2 linked regions of the Arabidopsis thaliana genome follow. The protein of the gene in region 1 interacts with the protein of each later gene in a pairwise test. Each region holds a gene or a part of one and is shown on either strand. Other genes may lie near its edges.

Region 1 (6,113 bases):
AAACGTTATTATTATTAGGTCCACGAAGACCTCTCGTTACGTCCTTCTCACACTATAACAGCTTTAACGCATTAGTCCAATACATATACAATAGAACATACTGTATATATCCTAAATTTGAAATCCATGAGCTTTGATTATGTAACTTCCCATGTGGTAAGTGAGACTATTGGTTATAGCTCCTCACTGTAGCTTTTGAATTACTCGTGCGTTGTATATAAATAATTATCCCAAGGATACTTTTGTTTGTTTGTGATGCTTTCTTCGATTATATCACTTAACATCAAAGTTTCATATGAAAGTTTTGACTTAATCAGTAGACTTTACTGCCCTTTCACGTACTACCGAACAAAATAGACTCAACTTTAACTTTAAAAGATTTGTCATTTTCATTTCAAATCTGATAGTTTTTCGAACTTCTTCTTTTTGTTTTTGTTAAAACTCGTAATTGAATTGCTTCAAACGCGAAACAACAGCAAAAATAAATAATTAAGTTTGAAAACAAAGATAATTCTGAATAAGAAAATATATCAAACAAAAAAATATTAAAAAAATAAAATAACTTCTGCTATATTTTGATAAAACGGCTATAGGTAAGATGTGAAATAATGTATAACATACAAGATTACCAAGGTCTTAAACATAACAAGACCTGAAATGGCAGATTCCACCACTTAATTATTTGTTCATGTCCTAAGTATCTTTTCTTTTTCTAAGTGGATCCTGCGGATCTAAGCATCAAAAGTAATTATTATCATATTTTCTTTTTGTTTTAAATTAAGTTTTTTTTAATTCTAAACTGATTATGTCAAGTACAATGAGATCTAATACAGTTTTCATAACTCCTAGTATTATTTAAAAAGAGTGTTGTATATAACGTTTAATCGCAGAAAAAACTCTCCAAGTTTTATTTCACGTAGATTTGGTCAAAGTAACCGATGAGAAAATTAGACATAAGTTTTGTTTTACACGAAATAAAGAAAGTGTTAGTATCACATAATGCATGTTATCTTTTTACTCAATAGTATACAAAGACCACGGGAGCGTCGTAAGTATGATTTTAAAACGGAGCAAATCCTATAGAAATAGAAACGGGTTCTTTAAGTTTCTACAAAATGTTTAAAAATTTGAAAGGATAGTGTAGAATTTATGGATGGATTCTTACTTAACATGCATGTGGAGTCCAAATAAGCATTAAGGAATATTAAAAGACACATAGAAACGTAAATATAAATATCAGAAGAGTGATTCTGGGGTAAACGTGCATTTGGTCTTTTTTTTTTTTTTTTTTTTACTACTAGTTAGTTTTTCTATTCAAAAGTTAAAAACTTTACCATTAAAAAAATAAATGGTGGAATCTTTCTTCAAATCTTCAAAATTTGAACAGAGTTTTTTGTAATTTAATCATTTTTATTTACCTTTGGATGAATAGCCACGCTGTTACTGTCTTTAAAAAATGCGCTGTTACTATCTATGTAAATAAATTATGACACATTTCTTGGAAAACGTAACTATTCCTCCTCTCTATCGTTCTTTTACTTTAATACAAAAAGTAAATATAAAAAAAACATTCGAACAGAGAGAAGAAAAACAAAATCTGCATCATTAATTACATACAACAGGTTAATGGAGAAATGGAAATGACACAGAACCCAAACTAGCAATGGGTGAAAATAAGGTAAATGATTAGTTACCAAAATCTAAAGAAAAATCTATGTTCAATCACGTACCAAATTGAAAAGATTAACCACAAATTACTTATCAAAAAAAATCCCAAGCAAACTAAACTGTAGTGTTAGCTCTTTCTTTATCCCCTTGTTTTATGGTCAAACAGTCAATGAGTTGCGTTATAAGCACATAAACAAACACTTCTTTCTCTAATAAAAATAAAGTTTCTATTTTTATATACAGAAAAGAAAAGAATATAAAACTTATATCTTTAAACCATTCTATATCCCGCTCACTCTCAGAGACAGTCCCTTTGCATAAAAGCGAATTGACTATAACCCATTTACTCTCTCGATCTGCCCAAGCTCCCATCTTTTCTGTTCGTAGAGCTCATTTCCCCAAATTAATAAAGAAAAAAAAAAAGACTTTTTTTCTTCTTCTTCTTCTTGAAGAAATTTCTGGAGCGTAGTAAGTTTCTATCTTAGTCTCTCTATCTCCATCTTCTCTGTTTTATTTTGCTTGTGAAATGTGATGATATTATTTTTATGCCGACCCTCTGTTCTTTTTTTTGAGGCGGTTCTCCTGGAGGGTTTCTTGAAACTTTATCTTGGTTTTGAAGCTTTTTTGGTTCATGGGTCACTCGGATTTTTCTTGGATTAAAGAAAATGTGACTTTGATTACTTTTTTTTTTAACGAACGGATCGATAGGTTTTTTTGGGAGATCTTGCAGCTTTAAATCATGGGTCTTTTCGTTATCCTCAGAAGAAATTTGATCTAGTCGTTCCTTTTCTTGTTCCTATTTCTTATGGATAAACATTTTTATATAAAAACCCATGAAAGAAATTTAGAAACTTTACTAATTTTTTCTTCAAATTTAATTATCTCCAAATTCTGCGCAAGTCGCTCCCGTCTTTGCTAAAATTGCTAAGACTTTTTCTTTCGAGCGTTGAGGGTTTTCTGCATTACAGTTTTCAAGTTTTTGTCAACAAGTAAATTGTAATTCACAAAGACTTGTTCTTTCAACTTGAATCTGACTTGAAACTTTGGAACTTGATTCGACGAACTTAAACAACAAGTACGTGTTGCAATTATTTGTCTAGTCATGAATGATCAGATAAACAATCCTCGTTTAGAATAAACAATTTCTCCAAACATCTTATATGCATTGGACTCTGCATAGATAAATATATATCTCTCTGTTTTGTTTAATCTTCATGCCATTGATCTTCGATTTCTCTTGACTTCAAATTCACAGATCGAGAGTTAATGTGGTGCTAAGTCCCAAACGTTAGAAAAGGGTTGGATCGTGTCAAAGGGTTTCAATCATGGGGAAGGAGAATGCTGTTTCTGGAAACTCTATACCAATCCATGGTCGCCCTGTAACTCGTGCTCTTGCCTCTGCTCTGCGTGCTTCTTCTAAGCTGATAACATCTTCTGAAGTGGCTGCTACAACACAGAACCAGGGACGGGTTCTTAGAGCAAAGAGTAAAAGAACAGCCTTGGATGAGAAGAAAGCCAATGCACCTAAGAAGCGAGCTGTTCTTAAGGATATCACTAATGTTACCTGCGAGAATTCTTACACAAGTTGCTTCAGTGTTGCGGTTGTTAACTACACAATGCAGCATTTTAGAATTGCTAAGTTTATATGACAAGAAGTATGTTTTTGCTGACAATTGTTGCTTCTTCTTTTTACTTAGGTGGAGAATATCAAGCAGATAAAGAAGGGACGACAGAGTTCTTCTTCTTCCAAGGTGGCATCTTCTTCGGCTACTTCACAAGTTACAGATGCAAAGGTAGAAGTTGTGTCAAATTCAGCAGGAGCAAGCTTGTCTGTTTTTACAGATACAAGCTTAGGCACAAACGAAACATCCTATAGCATTATCGCAAAGCCAAGCTCCAGATCGCCTCCAAGACCCTTTGGGACAGGTGAATTTTATAAATGGTCATTTACTGAAGCTTGAGTGGGCAATGTATAACATTTCTGATGCATCTTTATTCTTGCAAATGGTTTACAGTTGAGAGAAGTTGTGGTGGAGCAAGTAGCCCGAAATTCGTTGACATTGATTCAGATGACAAAGATCCTCTACTCTGTAGCCTTTATGCACCTGACATCTACTACAACCTGCGTGTTGCTGAGGTATTTATCCCTTGGATTTTGATATCTTACGATGATGCATTTGAGGCATTTGAATCCTTACGACTTGTCTACTTATCAGCTTAAACGAAGACCATTTCCTGATTTTATGGAGAAAACACAAAGAGATGTGACTGAGACAATGCGGGGAATTCTTGTTGATTGGCTTGTAGAGGTTAGTTCTCTACTTCCAGTTTGTTTGTTGCTTACTTATGAAGTCTTTTTGTGTAGCTTCTCACAACTCAAAATTTCAGGTCTCAGAGGAATACACACTTGTACCTGACACTCTTTACCTCACAGTGTATCTCATAGACTGGTTTCTCCATGGAAACTATGTGGAAAGACAGAGACTTCAATTGCTTGGCATCACTTGTATGCTCATTGCTTCGTAAGTTCCTCATCCACCTAAAATCAAATAATGCTCTGGTCTGAACACAACATCTAAAAGAGTTCTTGCAGGAAGTATGAGGAAATCCATGCGCCACGCATTGAGGAGTTCTGCTTCATCACGGATAACACTTATACAAGAGATCAGGTCCTGGAAATGGAGAGCCAAGTACTCAAGCATTTTAGCTTTCAAATTTACACCCCCACTTCAAAAACATTCCTCAGGTAATCTTACCAGACAGTGCAAATGCTTTATCATGTGTTGTTGCTTTTTAGTCTTTGGTGATTCAGAGTATTCATTCATTTTTGCAGGAGATTTCTTCGAGCAGCTCAAGTTTCTTTCCCGGTAATGTGCTTTTCTTTTATCAGATCAGATATATCTATTGCTCATAAAACATGTAGCAGAAAGATTGAAACTTTGTTGGTAATTTGTCTGCAGAATCAAAGTCTGGAAATGGAGTTTCTGGCGAATTACCTAACGGAATTGACGTTAATGGACTACCCTTTCTTGAAGTTCCTTCCTTCGATCATCGCTGCTTCGGCTGTTTTTCTTGCCAAGTGGACATTAAACCAATCAAGCCACCCTTGGGTCTGTAATTGACCAACTATCTTCTTCATTAAGAAACACAGCGAATCTTGAATCTCACTCTTGTTTACTTTATTTTATGAACAGAATCCAACTCTTGAGCATTACACAACGTACAAAGCCTCCGATCTCAAAGCATCTGTCCACGCCTTGCAAGATTTACAGCTTAACACCAAAGGATGTTCCTTAAACTCTATACGCATGAAGTATAGACAGGACAAGGTATTAAAAAATTATTAATCTTAGTTTGGTTTTCTTAAACCGAATGAAGAAATCTGGTCTGTTTCGGTTTAACAGTTTTTTTTTTTTTTTTTGGCAATTTACAGTTCAAATCCGTGGCGGTATTCAGTTCTGGAGAGCTACCGGACAAGCTATTCATCTCCTAACCGATATGACACACGAATCTGTAGTAACATTTTTCTGATGGTCCACATTCATCTGTCTGTCAAATAAAACAGTGTCTTCCCACGGTCTCTCATCATTACCAAGTAACCGGATTCGGTGTTAGTTCGGTTTAGTTGTAGACAGGTTTGGTTCTTTCAAACCGGACTTGTTCTTGTCGGTAACACGAGTTAATTGTAGTGGAATGTACATTTTTCCCCCGGTTTATTCAAGGCAATATCTGGTCTGCTTCGAATATTTTATCTTTTTATTACAGTTGACAGAGAGACAAAGCATTAATTACACATTATCCAACGGAGAAATTGTGACTCACATAGTATGTGGCAAGAATTGCTTTTTCGTTTTACGAAAAACCAATAATAAAAAATTATCAAGTTGGTCTTCTTCTTCCTCGTTGCTGATGTGTCGCTCTGCTTGAGAGAGTCAGAGAGTCAAGAGAGAAAAGGGGTCGAGAATGGCGGTCGCAATATCTGGGAGTAGTTTGATATCGTCGACTCTTCAGCATTATAATAATCGGATTTATATCCGAGATTATCCGATTCCGTGTCACTCTTCTAATCCAATTTGCAATTCTTTTAATTTCAAAAGACGTTCGTTCTCTCCTTCTTCCCCCAAATTTAACGACCATGTCGTTAACCCTTCCTCTTCTTATTTATCCTCCAAGCTTTCTCCAATTCGAACCCATTCCTCTTTCGCTGGTAAACGCCTCCAAATATAATCTCTTTTCTTTTCCTCGCTTCCTTCTAATTTTTGAGGTTTGCTTTTCTTTTCTTTTGATGATTGTTTGGCTATTTCGTAAATTTTATGCAAAATTGCTTTAGAATTTCCTCATGAGATTGTTTTATTACTCTCCTCGACGTTCTCTGGTTGTTTTGTTCTCTTGTTGTTGTTGTTGTTAAGGGTTTGATTGTTTCCATTGTGTTGGTTTGGCTCTGC
Region 2 (4,212 bases), on another chromosome or scaffold:
TGAAACGCAGATATGGAATATCTGTACCAAATTATTTCAAAGATAGTTATTCGTTCTACGTACAGATTTTGAAGACATAAACAAGTAATCGAAATTGCTTCTATAGTTCTATTCCTAAATCGGTTTGTGATTAGATCGAGTTACGTATGATTCAGTTCAAGCGAATGACATATCTCGATAGAAAAATTTCTTAGTTCAAGCGAGTGACACATCTCGATAGAAAAATATATGAGAAAATTGGAACCTGATAAAAAAATGTATGTGCTTTTAAAATAAGATGGATTACATCAATCTTAATTTAATCAAATAAATATTATTACAATCACACTTGCAAGAAACTGAATATGACGAAACTGTACGTAAATACATATTCAGAAAAAAAAAGTCACCAGGCCAATCATATTTTCAACATGTAATCACATAGACGATGCTATTGTTCCTCTCCGTTAATTATGTACGGAATGTCCAATACCGGGGCTATGACCAGGTTCCGTAGGTCTGAAGGTATCAACCCCGTGGCTCGGCGGCGACTCAAGTGGCTCAGTCGGAGGTGACGACGACAATACAGAGCCACCAGCTCTGATTTCCTCAGACGTCGTTACGGTGAATTTGGTGAGTTTTCGGCCTTCAATTGAACCAACACTAATAGTCAAAAGAAAGATAAATGCAAAAACGTAAACATTAATCGTCGCCATTACTAGAAAAACCGAGACGAGAATTAGAAAAAAAAAGAAGCTAAATTATAATATTTAGTCGAAGGCGAAAATGTATTATGTATTGATGCATGAAACCTCTTGGACCATCTGATGTATTTATAGGGATGAAATTTTACATAACATGGGCGCAACACTTGAGGAGATAAATTAAATATTTAGGGGGTATTATTGGTTTATGATTTTAAAAGAACTTTAACGATTATGTAAAATCGTTTGTTATTCAATCAAGATTTTTAAAAAGTTTATTAAAGTTCTTTGTTATTAATTTAAGATTTATAAAAAGTTTTCTAATATCTTTATAAATCTAGGGTTATAGATTCATACTTTTTTGTAAAGTGAGTAAAAGTTTTATGTTATTCAATTAAAACAAAAGTCGTCTGCATGACCTTCATGTAAATTTCAGTCCCTTCTTTTGATTGAGAAACTAGGGAATTTTTTGGATTGAAAATTGCTTGGTGAGTTAAGGAGATCTAATCTTGATGCTCACTTTATTGCCAAGAGCGTAACAAAAAATGATCGCCGTTAATCGTATGTAGCAACTAGGTTTTCTTTTTGGTTAAAACAACTTTTTGAGGAAGAAAAAAATGCCTAGTGTAATACTGGTTGATCTAGAATGATTGTCCTTGATCCACATTTTTTTGTATGTTTGGTTGGAAATTATGAAGTATATATTTATCTTTCAGTGAAAAAAAAAATATTTTTAATTTTTAAAGCAAGACATGGTAATTTGAATGCACTCGCCACTCCATTTTGTTCATGCTTTGAGACAAAAACAAAACATAGAAAGGCTGACAAGGCCCATGGGAAGTGATGGAGGCCAAGTTTAGTTCTTAGAAACCTTTACTATATTATGACTTATTAAGCCCAATATATCACGATCGACACGTGCTGTTGACAACTTGACATCAGGCTAAGCAAATACGCAGGGATAACAAAAATATAATTTCTAGTGTCAGTTTTACTTTTACCTTATTTTACTCACAGGTACGTAGTTTTTAGGCTATCCGTAACAATCCACCTATACTATACACATAATCTATATATAGTCTCTATCCAATTCATTTTAAAGTAATATGAACTTTCTAATTTTACCTAAACTATAAAATTCATCCCAACTATACAAAAAGCTTGTCAATTATAATTTAAAACATTTTAAACGGTTTCGCGTAATGGCAAATCTGTGAATTACCAATAGATGAGAGGGTTTTTAAAATAGTTAGTTACACCACAATTATTACGCCTCCCGTTCCGTTAAGTCACCGTTTATAACCGACACGTGTCAATAAAACAAACCATCGGCATAAGTAACTCCATAACATCCAAATAACGGCGCCTCCAGTTTCCCCGTTAAAGATTCCCCGTCACTGTAACGGGACCACTAAAACACGCCATTTCTCTATCACACACAGCACAAAACTCAATCCTGACCGTTCAAAACCAAATTCATCATCTTTCTTTCTTCTTCTTCCTCATCCTCTCAATCATATCTCTCTCTCTCACAGAGATTGTGACTTCACGCACACGTAACCTAAATCGAAGATGGTGAGAAAATATAGAAAAGCTAAAGGAATTGTAGAAGCTGGAGTTTCGTCAACGTATATGCAGCTACGGAGCCGGAGAATTGTTTATGTTAGATCGGAAAAATCAAGCTCTGTCTCCGTCGTCGGTGATAATGGAGTTTCGTCGTCTTGTAGTGGAAGCAATGAATATAAGAAGAAAGAATTAATACATCTGGAGGTTATTTAATGTTGTTGATTCTAGATTCTTGTAACTGTATATGTATCATTTAATGTTAATGTATTTTTTTTTGAAATTTTGAAATTTTTGTAGGAGGAAGATAAAGATGGTGACACTGAAACGTCGACGTATCGACGGTGAGTGTTAAAAAAAAAACTGAAAATGATTTGAATTTTGAAGGTTTTATTATTTTCCCGGTTATTTATTTGACTCTCTCTTCAATAAATTTAGAATCTTGCTTGTGAGTTATTTTAGGGGTACGAAGAGGAAGCTTTTTGAAAATCTGAGAGAGGAGGAGAAAGAAGAATTAAGTAAATCCATGGAGAATTATTCATCGGAATTTGAATCGGCGGTTAAAGAATCGTTAGATTGTTGTTGTAGCGGGAGGAAAACGATGGAGGAGACGGTGACGGCGGAGGAGGAGGAGAAGGCGAAATTGATGACGGAGATGCCAACGGAATCGGAAATTGAAGATTTTTTTGTGGAAGCTGAGAAACAACTCAAAGAAAAATTCAAGAAGAAGTAAGTTTTTATTTTATTTTGTGAGTTTGATTTTTATAGATAATATATTTTTTATTCATAATTTAAAATTGATTTTGAGGTAAAATTAAGAGTGAGTTTATTTTTTTTTAATTAGGTACAATTTCGATTTCGAGAAGGAGAAGCCATTAGAAGGACGTTACGAATGGGTAAAGTTAGAGTGAAGAAGAAGAAGAAGTTTATGGTTTTTTTTTTAACTTTTTAGATTTTAATATTTCAGGGAATAAGTTAATTTTATTTTGTTGATTTGGAAATATAAGATTTGTAGGAGGAATGTTTTTAGAAGTACGAAATTGCACAGAAAAAGAAGAAAGCTTTTTAACAGATTTTAGAGCCCAGAAAAGTCGTGTCTTTTAGCTCTACTTTTACCTCTTCTTCGAATCTTGTGTATCTTTTAGCATATTCTTTAGTACATTTTTATGTTTTTGGTGACTGATAAAATTCTATCCCCACACAGGTACAACCACACTCATTTTTTTGTCTTCTCCGTTTTAATAATATTCAACCAAAAACATCAAATGCATTTTGGTAGATTATCTTACCGCCCTAAACGCTTAAAATTATTTTAGAATTTTATTTCTTACAACGTTTGATATGGATTAAAAAGTACTATGAAATTAGTTATTATTGTTCTACTACTTAAATTAACTAATCGACAATTTCAGTGCAGTTTTTTGTTGAACAAAATCGTACCAACCATGTCAGCTAACCACACCAACTAATTTTTTTGTTTCATATTCAGCACCGAATATGATTGAGCTCGACCAATCAGAATTTCAAGATGATTCTGTTATTCTTAAAGTTTATTGATTAATAACAAATCACAAACATTCTATCACACGAAACTTGGTTTGAAACTTTTCAAAATTTTAATTATAATAATACTAGCATATAATAAAACTTTAGATCTGTAAAGGGCATACTGTACTGGCCCAATGGTTAGAGAATTTTGAGATAATGCCATAAATACATTATTCCAAATGATGCAGGACCATTTTGTAACTAGACAAATTATCCGAAGACTTGGAAACAAAACTCTTTCATGGACCATTTCAGAAAATCTTCAAAACAAATGATCATGGACCATTTTGTATATGTAAGCTTAATTCAGATCACAAACAGGTTAAATGAGGGACTCAAATAAACAAAAACAATTCTTTCATCGAGGGCTGTTTTATTTTCGTGATATTGTTAAGGGAAACTTAAAGATATGTTTGGA

What was found.
Region 2: the proteins of CYCA2;4 (region 1) and ICK1 interact in a protein complementation assay, tested with the Arabidopsis thaliana proteins (one study listed by BioGRID).

Annotation. Positions count from the first base shown.
Region 1 is NC_003070.9:30,211,701-30,217,813, forward strand, and holds CYCA2;4 (Cyclin A2;4), read left to right. Parts: upstream 1-2,004; 5' UTR 2,005-2,136; intron 2,137-2,923; 5' UTR 2,924-2,993; coding exon 2,994-3,269; intron 3,270-3,365; coding exon 3,366-3,594; intron 3,595-3,683; coding exon 3,684-3,805; intron 3,806-3,884; coding exon 3,885-3,977; intron 3,978-4,056; coding exon 4,057-4,190; intron 4,191-4,261; coding exon 4,262-4,414; intron 4,415-4,501; coding exon 4,502-4,535; intron 4,536-4,628; coding exon 4,629-4,778; intron 4,779-4,862; coding exon 4,863-4,997; intron 4,998-5,101; coding exon 5,102-5,161; 3' UTR 5,162-5,402; downstream 5,403-6,113. Other genes in the region: AT1G80380 (P-loop containing nucleoside triphosphate hydrolases superfamily protein), read left to right, coding at 5,632-5,875.
Region 2 is NC_003071.7:9,975,965-9,980,176, reverse strand, and holds ICK1 (Cyclin-dependent kinase inhibitor family protein), read left to right. Parts: upstream 1-2,086; 5' UTR 2,087-2,255; coding exon 2,256-2,453; intron 2,454-2,546; coding exon 2,547-2,590; intron 2,591-2,708; coding exon 2,709-2,975; intron 2,976-3,090; coding exon 3,091-3,157; 3' UTR 3,158-3,587; downstream 3,588-4,212. Other genes in the region: AT2G23440 (uncharacterized protein), read right to left, coding at 447-695. UniProt on the Arabidopsis thaliana protein: Binds and inhibits CYCD2-1/CDKA-1 kinase complex activity. Regulates cell division which is crucial for plant growth, development and morphogenesis. Functions in turning cells from a mitotic to an endoreplicating cell cycle mode.